Macaca mulatta: one gene and its partners. The main gene of each other region encodes a partner of the protein of the gene in region 3 in a complex. Links are inferred from orthologs where the notes say so. Each region holds a gene or a part of one and is shown on either strand. Other genes may lie near its edges. The genes, in order: AHI1, TMEM107 and TMEM216.

The links.
Region 1: TMEM216 (region 3) and AHI1 share a complex: the UniProt entries of both Homo sapiens proteins name them as parts of the tectonic-like complex. The link is inferred for Macaca mulatta from reciprocal best matches to the Homo sapiens genes TMEM216 and AHI1.
Region 2: TMEM216 (region 3) and TMEM107 share a complex: the UniProt entries of both Homo sapiens proteins name them as parts of the tectonic-like complex. The link is inferred for Macaca mulatta from reciprocal best matches to the Homo sapiens genes TMEM216 and TMEM107.

What each region holds. Positions count from the first base shown.
Region 1 is NC_133409.1:40,532,307-40,535,955, forward strand, and holds part of AHI1 (jouberin), read right to left. Parts: intron 2,304-3,649; coding exon 2,197-2,303; intron 662-2,196; coding exon 543-661; intron 1-542. UniProt on the Homo sapiens protein: Involved in vesicle trafficking and required for ciliogenesis, formation of primary non-motile cilium, and recruitment of RAB8A to the basal body of primary cilium.
Region 2 is NC_133421.1:9,692,588-9,696,336, forward strand, and holds TMEM107 (transmembrane protein 107), read right to left. Parts: upstream 2,600-3,749; 5' UTR 2,508-2,599; coding exon 2,421-2,507; intron 2,245-2,420; coding exon 2,177-2,244; intron 2,094-2,176; coding exon of another isoform or gene 2,076-2,093; coding exon 1,975-2,075; intron 1,138-1,974; exon of another isoform or gene 1,039-1,137; intron 872-1,038; coding exon 775-871; intron 530-774; coding exon 460-529; 3' UTR 205-459; downstream 1-204. UniProt on the Homo sapiens protein: Plays a role in cilia formation and embryonic patterning. Requires for normal Sonic hedgehog (Shh) signaling in the neural tube and acts in combination with GLI2 and GLI3 to pattern ventral and intermediate neuronal cell types.
Region 3 is NC_133419.1:12,654,350-12,658,098, forward strand, and holds the start of TMEM216 (transmembrane protein 216), read right to left. Parts: upstream 2,717-3,749; 5' UTR 2,697-2,716; coding exon 2,684-2,696; exon of another isoform or gene 2,670-2,683; intron 2,130-2,669; coding exon 2,028-2,129; intron 1,479-2,027; coding exon 1,386-1,478; intron 1-1,385. UniProt on the Homo sapiens protein: Part of the tectonic-like complex which is required for tissue-specific ciliogenesis and may regulate ciliary membrane composition.

The DNA of each region.
Region 1 (3,649 bases), on a different chromosome or scaffold from region 3:
ACCAAACAAAAATGCACTAGAAGTCCATGCTGATTTTCCCAGAACGCTGCTTCTACCTTTTACAGGAAGAAGATTTCCCTATGTTCACCATTATTTGGAAATAAAGGAAAAAAACAAGGATGTATAAATCACAAGCCCTGCCTTGTTGTTATATCATATTATACTAATGCTGTAACAGTATCATAGTGATAATATCAGTATCAATCAATATCATTGTTGAAGGTAGAAGTTTCTTTTTTTTTAATTGTGAAAATAAAAGCAACTAACTACATTTCAGCCTCAGAACTATTCACATTTTGGGCTGGATAATTGTTTTAGGGAGACTGTCCTATGGGCTGTAGGATGCTTAGCAATATTTTTGATCTCTACTCATTAGATACTAGAAGTAACATAAAAAAAAAAATCTCCACATACTGCCACACATTCCTTGGTGAGTGTGGGGACACTGCCTAGTTGAGAACCACTACCGAATTTTATAAATATAATTTAATTCATTACTTATTCTGTGAGTACTTATCCTGTCAATACTGAAATATACTTACATCCGGAGATCCATAATTCTCAAAGTACTGTCTTTGGTATGAATTAACAAACGTTTTCCATTGGGATGAACCTCCAAATAACTTACTGGAATTCCCTTAAACTCAGTTTCTTTAATTTCCTAAAATGATAAAAAAAAAAATACTACTAATGAAAAGTTAATCTAATGTTAAACGTTTTTGGGGGTACAAAATTAATCTTAAAATATCTTTTCCAATTCTGCAGTATAGGATGCTTTATAATTGTTAGCAAAAGGATTCTGAGTAACTTCAGTTTAGGGTTGAAAATAAAGCTGATGAACTGTATTTTTGTGTTGTTATGCAATGTGTAAATGCACATTTAATTATTATGTGTTTTTGTAGTATGTTCACTTTCCCAAAATTTAGTCAATCCCAAACAAGAAGCACTTCCAACAAACACATCTTGTAACATTAAATTTTTTGTTTAAAATCATGTAAGAAGCTTCCAATTTTTATAAATTCAAAACCACATGTATTATTAATTTTCAAGTTTCTATTCTTATTTATATAAGAATTTCTAACAACAGATGAAATGCTTTTTCAACAGATCTGACAGACTCAATGGATTTAACTAAAATTCATGAAAATTATTTTTCACTTAGCGTGTCTTTTTTCAACTACTGTCATTATTAAGAAAAATGGAAGAAAAAGGTATAATATGTTAGGCAGAAACTGGATCAATTTATATAAAACAAATTCAAGTTTAATGATTCATTTGTGTTTTTAAATAAAAAGTAAAAAATGTACACTAACAAAACTGCTTTACAAGCTGTCTTAAAAACACTCCAGCCCCCAATGAAAGAACTTATTCATTTGTTTCCATTTAGCAAATTTCAAATGAAATAATTATTGATTAAATGACAGACTTTCATAATAATTACATAACTCTGAAAGACACCAGTGTTGACAAAGTACTAAGAACACTGTTTTTAGAGATGCTATTGGACCAAGGAAAAAGGATATAACAGAAAATATAAATTATTACTTATCGATGGTAATATAACATACATCTCATTTTAGCATAAATGTCACCCAATGGATTACTGAATGCCACAGTGCAAATGGGATATAAAAAAGTGAAACTAACATCTGGCCGAAATTTTAAAAATCTTCACTAAGTCATTAGATCATCAATCAACCACCAGGAGGGTGTGCTAATTAATTATAGATAATTGACTAAGAAAAAGTGTTGGCCGGGCGCGGTGGCTCAAGCCTGTAATCCCAGCACTTTGGGAGGCCGAGACGGGCAGATCATGAGGTCAGGAGATCGAGACCATCCTGGCTAACACGGTGAAACCCCGTCTCTACTAAAAAATACAAAAAACTAGCCAGGCGAAGTGGCGGGTGCCTGTAGTCCCAGCTACTCGGGAGGCTGAGGCAGGAGAATGGCGTGAATGGCGTGAACCCGAGAGGAGGAGCTTGCAGTGAGCTGAGATCCGGCCACTGCACTCCAGCCTGGGTGACAGTGCAAGACTCCGTCTCAAAAAAAAAAAAAAAAAAAAAAAAAAAAAAAGGAAAGGTGTTAATTTTTTGAAATGAGAGAACAGAATGTCCTGACATTCTATCTTAAAGTCATGTGACTGGAGTTTTCCAACTTCTTTAATTAAATCTCATAATATAAAATATGATTTTATACCTTATTTATAGTCCAGTGGCGCACTGAATGTTCCAAATCATTAACCTTGACATAGGTATTCCAAACAACAATCACCCCTGTACAGTCTCCTGAATACATATGATGACCTATTTAAAAAACAAGATTACTCACTTATGAATGTCCCAGAGTTAGAAACAAATAATAGGAGACTGGGGGAAACCATACCCCAGTAAAACAGTCAAAGAATTGAAGGGCTATTAAAAGGTATTTCAGTTTAAAAAAGTCAAAAATCAAAATGCAACTCACAAACAAACCCCAATTATCTTTAAATGAATTCTTTACTCTTTTAAATTATTTTTGATGACTTATTTCCCTTTGTCACTTACCTGAATTTAACTACAAAAAGAAATGAGCCTCTCAGTACATGTGTATATGGCTCATATTCCAAAGCCAAATTATTTGAACCATCCTACATGTAACATTATTTCTTACTTTATTAACCTATAAATCTGTTTTGGAGTCCTAGAAAAATACCTATATTCTAATACATAGTGTTAGCATAATACCTGAGACCCAGTAGAAACTCATTAAATGATCAGGAAATGAATAAAATAATAAATAACAGGTATTCCAATTTAACATCAATTCTTTGGAGTCAAGTCATCTTAAAGTTGACAGACCTCAGAAAGTTCAACTTCATACCCACTCAGGAATATCTCAACCACCACCACTAACAGATGGCTGTTCAGCAACTGTGAATTCAGTATTTTACAAAACAGCTATTCAATTGGTGAACTGCTTCCTGTATTAAAATATTCTTTGTAATTCTGAACGAAGAAAATCTACCTTCTACAGCTTTGGCCCACCTCTACCCATTGGAGTAAAATGGACCAATTTCTTTTTTTTTTTTTTTTTTGCACATTTGGGTATCTTACGGCCAAATAGTTGAAGAAAGTCTTTATGTCTCTTTTACAATCTGAACTACTGCTATTATGACAGAGTTAGTTTTCAGATACCTTTCTTTCCTGAATATGTTCTAAATTTATTAACATCCCTACAGCTGAACTGAGTAAATCAGCAGTATTATCCTTTTGATCTGGATCCCATGCCAATTAATTATAGTGACAGCCTACATGCCTAGTCTCTGAAATTATGTAAAAAGTGACTATTTAATAGATATAATAAATTTCTTTATTCTTTCAGATAATAAAATGATTTATGTTTTACAACTTTAAGACATACTACATTATTCTTTTTTTTGAGACAGAGTCTCACTCTGTCACCCAGGCTGGAGTGCAGTAGCGCGATCTCAGCTCACTGCAACCTCTACCTCCCACGTTCAAAGCGATTCTCCTGCCTCAGCCTCCCAAGTAGCTGGGACTACAGGCACCCAGCACCACACCCAGCTAATTTTTTGTATTTTTAGTAGAGATGGTGTTTCACCATGTTAGCCAGGATGGTCTTGATCTCCGGACCTCGTGATCAACCCATC
Region 2 (3,749 bases), on a different chromosome or scaffold from region 3:
CGGCTGCCGAAAAGGAATAAATTTCTTTTTCCCAGAATGCTCCGATCATTTACGTGCTGGACGTTCTAACTGTAAGCACTTTCTATTTACATATCTCCGCCCACTCCCTTCCGCCAGACAACTACCGTAATAACCAAAATAGAAGCGATACCAAGTATCTTACGGTCTGCAGAACTAGAAAATAACGTTGCTTCTTTTTTTTTCTTCAGTAGTTTCGCCATTTCAATTGTGCCCTGAAAACTGTATATGTCTTAATCTTACTACAAAACATATTTTATTACAAACCACTAAATACAATGCGGATAATCCCAGACTCAAGACGTAATTATTCCAACACATATCCTCCAGCAGAAGCAGTTTCCGAGGGGAGGACCGAAGCCTATGCCTTCCTTCTTCCAGGAATACGAAGCGGCCCTTGCCCCTGTAGCCTTCGTCCTTAGGTTCCCGTCATGAAGGTGCTCAGAAAGGCTTCTTTTTCAGCCCAAAGACGGTGACGAATAAAGTCATTTCAGTGACAGCTGGAAGGGCACTACCGAGGCAAGTGGTAGATTCAGAAACCCGTTCAATATAAATACCCAAATCTCCAAACCAGAGACCCCACCCCTGAAAGTGTAGGACAGGTGGCATGGGGTAGGGAATGAAAATTCAAAAGACTACAGGATGTTAAGTGGATCTGGTATCTCCCACATAGAGGAAAGGGCTGGGTAGGGGAAAAACCCTCAGGTTTAGGGTCAGCCTTCCTCCCTCATTCCCGAATATTGGATGCTACCACACCTGCAGAAGACAAAAATGTACCAATACGTAGTGCACTCCCAACGCTCGAATATGAAGAAGGACAGGGCCACGGATGCACTACAGTGAGCCCCAATGGCTTGAGAAGGCACCACAGTTAAGGAAAGTCTTTGGATCGACAGATAGTGAGGGGTCAGAAAAGGCCAAAGGCCAGTGGTGGGGTTGGCATCTGCATTCAGGTTCATCGTTTGCTCCCTCACCATATTGCAAGGGCTAGAGTCAGCATCCCCGACTTCTGAATTTTAGGACAGTCATGTGAGGAGAGACCAGAAGTGACTGCGCAGATGGGATCTCAGGCTACCCTACTCCATATCTAGGGGCCAGCCTGGATCCTTCAGATGAGAGGTAAGAGTAGGCTCTCCTGCTATGCCACACAGGAGTGCTGACAGCGACTTGATATGCGCTGGAATCAGCCTCCAGTGTCCTGGTCCTCCTGGTCCACAATTCTCTGACCCATGTGCCTGGCTTCCGTTGCCTCTTCTGAGTTCCCAATGTGCTTTATATCTTTCGTTTTTTGCCAGAGTCTTGCTCTGTCGCCCAGGCTGGAGTGCAGTGGCACGATCTCGGCTCACTGCAACCTCTGCCTCCTGGGTTCAAGCAATTCTCCTTCCTCAGCCTCCTGAGTAGCTGGGATTACAGGAGTGCACCGCCACGCCCGACTAATTTCTGTATTTTTAGTACAGACAGGGTTTCACTATGTTGGTCAGGCTGGTCTTGAACTCCTGACCTCAGGTGATCCACCTGCCTCGGTCTCCCAAAGTGCTGGCATTACAGGCGTGAGCCATCGCACCCTGCCTGTGCTATCTTTACACACTCCCATAGCACACTGCTTATCACACTGAATTACAGATGTGTATCTACCTCCTCATGGTTAAAAAAAAAAAAAGTGGAGTTTTTATTATTACTATTTATTTTGTAGACACGGGGTCTAACTATGTTGCCTCCTGCGCGGGCCTCCCACAGTGCTGGGATTACAGACGTGAGCCAACGTGCCTGGCCAAAAACTGTATTTTACTCTCATTTCGGAATTTTAAGTGCCTAGTAAACAGCAGGATTTAGCACATGGTTGAAGATCTTTGAACTGGAGAGACTGGCTACAGCAGACACTATTGTGTCAGGTGGCTGAAGGGAGTCCTGATAGAAATGGGTCGTGTGGGAAAGGTGGGCAGGCAGAAAGGATACAGATGAGGCTCTGGGTGCTGTTGAACATGGAGACTCCTGAGAGGAAACCGGCCAGCTCCACTGCAAAGAGGCCCAGGGTGACAGAAAGCGCGGCCACCAGCCTGCAGAGAGGAAGTGGACTGGCCCAGGCCTTTGGACTTCTTCTAAGACCCCTCCACTCCCACCACCTCTTCGTTCTGGCCACCCCGTCCCAAGAGCTCACTGAATGTCCTGCTTGTCATACTCCTCGGGGGTGAACCTGAGAGGCAGGCAGGCCTGAATGTTGCTGTCCTGGGAGCAGGGCAGAGAGGAAGAGAAGTGAAAAAGGGGCAGGCTGCTGGGCAGGCCTAGGGACGGCGGAACACGAGAAAACCCAAGTGGGTAAGACACTGGGAGAGGGGCAGGGTGGGGCGGGGACGACTCCGAGATGGGAATGGGGGCGGACGGAGGGCAGCCGTGGGTCTTACCCGGGACCAGAATAAAGTGATGACGACCACCAGATGCGCCAGGAGCGTCAGGAAGCGAGAGGGCACAAGCCCTGAGACCCGGCCCATGGCCCTTGGGAACAAGAGCGGCGGTCTCTGAGGCTGGAAGTTCAGAGACTGCGACTCCCGCAAGTCCACCAGCAAGCGGACAAATCTAGACGAACTCCTCCTTTCCGCCAGCTCAGGCACCGCCCAGTTGCCTTGGTAACCGCGTACGCGGGCGTGCTGCCGCGTTCTCGGAAAACCTCGCGAGAGCAGTACATTCTCCATCTGCTGTGGGTCTTTCAGGGCTAACTCAGGTCAGGGGTACCCGAAGGAGCTTCTAACCCAATGGCTGGGTACCCGTGCGCAGCCAGGCCCTTTGTTTCTCAGAGGGTGAGGGGTGGCACAGCCCCGCAGCGCCCGATCTGCCCACGCAGGGCCGACGAACGGAAACCCACCCTGGCCTAGCCTGGGGACACCTCTGCTTCCGCGGTTGCCCACGCCGGGAGCGGCCCCCAGCCCCAGCTACGCTGCCCAGTTGTGGATCACTTGAGATCACTCCCACCGCCACGCCGGGCTGAGGTCCCCGCCATGCCGAAGACTCACACCCGCTCCCCTTCCTCCTCTCCTCATGCCTTTAACTTCCCACCAAGCTGGGCCTGAGAAACAAGGGACCCGAACGTGGAGAGGCCGGTGTTCCTGGACTGCTCGGCAGTTACAGATTGTCACAGAGCCCCTGGTTGTCTGAGGACCCTAGGCCTGAACCTTCCTTGAGGAAGACTGATTTCTCTCAGACTACTTTGCTCAGTTTGGTGAAGGATTTGCAGAGTGCAAAAAGTGGTCAGCGTCCTTAAACTAGCGTGGGAATAAGAGCAAAGCAAGGTGGCTGGAAAGGTGGGAGTGGACGAAGGGAATGGTACAGTCCCTGCGTCTCTGGGAGGCTTGGAGCCTACGGGAAGGGAAACTCAACTTAGATTTCTTTATCTCTTGGAGGTGCTGGACCTCCGACATTGCCCAGCTACAGTCCAGGAAGCTCTTATCACCGGCGACGTCATGACCTTTGGGCCTCAGCGCAGGTCCCTGCAGATCTGAAAGTTCTTCTCTAATTGCTCAGTCAAGTCCCATCCTCAAGGAAACTCCCGGCCCATTTCCCAGGAGAACAATATCTTCCTACTTCCCACTCGACGTCTCAGTGCCTTTAGCCAGACTAAAGTACAAGCCCAAGAGGCATTTCTCATTCCTTCAACAAATATTTTTATATATTTATTTATTACCTAGTAATAGTATTCTAGTCAGGGAGATCAACAACAGACATGCAAACAAATAAAT
Region 3 (3,749 bases):
AAAAAAAAAAAAAAAAACCATTTATTTCAGGGATGACATATTCTAACAAATAAGGGTTTTGCTCTGTATTTCTGGGATTATAAAACTTGTCCTACAGGGCAAGCATGTTGGCTCACGCCTGTAATCCCAGCACCTTGGGGAGGCCAAGGCGGGAGGATTGCTTGAGGCCAGGAGTTTCAGACCAGCCTGGGCAATGAGGCAAGACACTGTCTCTACAAAAAACACAAAATGAGCCAGGCATGATGTTGCATGCCTGTGGTCCCAGCTACTCAGGAGGCTGAAGTTGGAGGACTGCTTGAGCCCAGGGCTTCAAGGCTGCTGTGCGTTATGATCGTACCACTGTACTCCAGCCTAGGTGACAGAATGAGATCCTGTCTCAAATAAGTAAATGTTTAAAAAACAAAATCCGGTCAGGTGTGATGGCTCACACCTATAATCCCAGCACTTTGGGAGGCCAAGACAGGTAGATCATGAGGTCAGGAGATCGAGACTATCATAGCCAACATGGTGAAACTCCATCTCTACTAAAAATACAAAAACTTGCCAGGCATGGTGGTGGGCGCCTGCAGTCCCAGCTACTCAAGAGTCTGAGACAGGAGAATCGCTTGAACCCGGGAGGCGGAGGTTGCAGTGAGCCGAGATCGTGCCACTGCACTCCAGCCTGGCAGACACAGTGAGACTCTGTCTCCAAAAAAAAAACAAAAATCCGGCCAGGTGCAGTGGTAATCCCACCACTTTGGGAGGCTAAGGCAGGCGGATGACAAGGTCAAGGGATGGAGACCATCCTGGCCAATATGGTGAAACCCCGTCTCTACTAAAAATACAAAAATTAGCTGGGAGCAGTGGTGAACGCCTGTAGTCCCACCTACTCGGCAGGCTGAGGCAGAAGAATCGCTTGATCCCGGGAGGCAGAGGCTGCAGTGATCCGAGATCGTGCCACTGCACTCCAGCCTGGCGATAGAGAGAGACTCCATCTCAAAAAAAAAAAAAAAATCCTACAGAGATCCTTATTCAGAGTATTGTTAGGGATCTTAGTACTGATCTGTGCAGGATATGCTGCCTGCCCTGACATGGAGCTACAACTGAACCTGCTCCCCCAAGAATACTAGTGAGAAGAACCAGGCACTCCTTTTGCTGTTAGGCAGCTGGGAAGGAATCATCTAATATCACATTCTATTGCCCATCTCTAGCCTTACAGAGCAACAAACAGGTAAATCCTGACCCCAATGTATGAAGCAGCAACTTGAAACTTCAGAGAGGGAGTAATGGGATATACAGATCCAGTCTCTGATAGTCAACCTAGGTGATGTACTTTTCTTGTTAATCAAGTTAGAGATACCAGCTTGTCTCATAAAGAGTGGAAATATTCTCTGGACAACACTCACCAAAAAACAGGCGAATTACTTCAATTCCAAGATAAAGGAGGAGCATCACCACATCCAGTACTAGGTTAGCTGTTGGATATGGTAGCAGAACACCTGCGAATACAAAAGCCAGTGTTTGCAAATAGCATAAAACAGCATCCACAAGAACTGCCACACACTTGAGACATCAGTCTCAAGGACATCAGTCTCAGCTTTCCATGAGCTAGTGAAATGTGGGCATTATTACAGCTGCAGGATACATAAACTCACAGTGCAACCCAGGCTCATTATTATGCCATTTTACTCCTAACTCCAAAAGACTCTGGGGACTCCTCTCTCCAGAATGAGTGGATGCACATGGGTACACGGGCCACTGAATAGTTTCTAAGGGTCATCAATGGGCTTACAGTGGAGCTCAGCAAAGACCAGTGATGTGGGCAGAGTCAGAATGGAGAAGCCCACATTTCCCAAACTCAAGAAATTCTTGCTGAGGGGATGCCATACTCATACTCAAAGAAGCCATCTGATGAGGAGGCCTGCCTTGCAGCGACAAAGAACCGCAGGGGGCAGAAAAGAGCGGAAAATAAGAAGGTTCTTGGTCGGAGTTGGCTCTGAGCTGAAGTGGGGAAGGGGTGCTGTCGTCAAGCCCCATGCCTTCCTTACCTTTATACAGAAATATGAAAAGTTCCAGCAAGAAATAGGTAGCATTATACCACGCGTTCAGAAAGAACAGGATTTCCAGCGGGGTGGAGGACAACCGTTTACCTGAAACAGCAGCACAGAAAAGTGGGATGGGCAGGAAGGCAGCTCCCTCTCTGCTCCTATGGGTTGGTGTCTAACTGGGGAAACCAGACGCCGCAACTAATGGGACCGGCCACCCAGGGGCACTTCTGGTTGCTGATAATGAGGGTACGGGGTGGATGTGGAGGAGGCTTCACTCGTTTCCCAGGAATCACCGCGAAACTCGACTCTTCGGCTTCAGGAGTAAAAGTTAAGAGGTAACTCGCAGCTGACAGACATCTCAAAGATCTCACCCTGTCACTATTTGGGAGGGGAAGTTGGGGCGTGGAGACCAACAGATTCGTACCTGAGCCATCCTAGAAGTGGCCCAGCCAAGGATCTGCGGCTATTTGACCCACGCACCTTGAAACCTTCAGGGACCCAGGGTGGGCGGGTCCGCGGAAGCCCGCTTTGGACCAGGGAGGCGCGATGTCCCTAACGCTACAGAATGGAGGGTTTAGGTCAAGCTCTGGGACAGAGGTGCGAGGGAGGGATCAAAGGGAAAGGGACCAGCGACTCACACACCTCCGGAATCTCACCTCGCGGCGCCATCTTCAGTCCCCGTGGAAACTGCGTACGCTGCCACAGCTGCTCCCGGAGCAGCGCGCCGCTGCCGGAAACAGGGACTGAGCGGCCGGGGTTTCCGGCCCCTCTGCCCGCCCGCGGCACTCTGTGGTCACCCGGAGCGGGACGAGCTCGGGCCAGGCCGCAAGTGGCCCTCGCTCGGATGTCCCCTCTCCAGACCTAAGGGAAAACAGTGACCGCCCACGACGCCGTCGTCTGCAGGAGCTCGGGGTTGTGGGGTAGGACCCTGGAGGCCCTTGGGCTACCGGGCGTTGGGCGGAAGTGGCCAGTTGTGACAATGTTACCAGGAGACTGGCAAATAGGTCCTACTCCCACGATTCCCATTTTTCGACGGAAGACGAGAAACGGTGTGAGCGACGGATCTCTGCAAATGCGGGATGGGAGTTAGCATTGGTCTTTTCTGCGGCCTATTTACCTACCAGGTAGAGACACTAGGGAAATAGAGCGTCCTTTCCAGGAGCACACGTAAATAAACTGAAACGAGTCACCACGCGATCCCTAAAGTGGTGCAGTGGGAGCTGAGAGGACAAAGTGCTCCCAGGTGGAAATCTAAGTCAGTTTCCAAGAGACGGGCTTCAAAATGTGAGCTGGGCTTCAAAGCCTGCCTGATTCGGGTTTGCAGCGGTAAGAGCGTGTTGCTGGCCGGGCTTAGTGGCTCACGCCTGTAATCCCAGCACTTTGGGAGGCCGATGCGATGGATCACCTGAGGTCAGGAGTTCGAAACCAGCCTGGCCAACATGGCGAAACCCCGTCTCTACTAAAAATACAAAAATTAGCCAGACGTAGCGGCGCGCGCCAGTAGTTCCAGCTACTTGGGAGGCTGAGGTAGGAGAATCGCTCGAACCCAGGAGGCGGAGGTTGCAGTGAGCCGAGATTGCGCCACCACACTCCAGCCTGGGCGACAGTGAGACTCTGTCTCAAAACAAACAAAAAAACAAACAAAAACGTGTTGCTGCAGGCGGGGAAGTGCAAAAAGAAGGGTTTTGAGAGGACTCAGGTTGACTTGACTTGGCTGTTAGC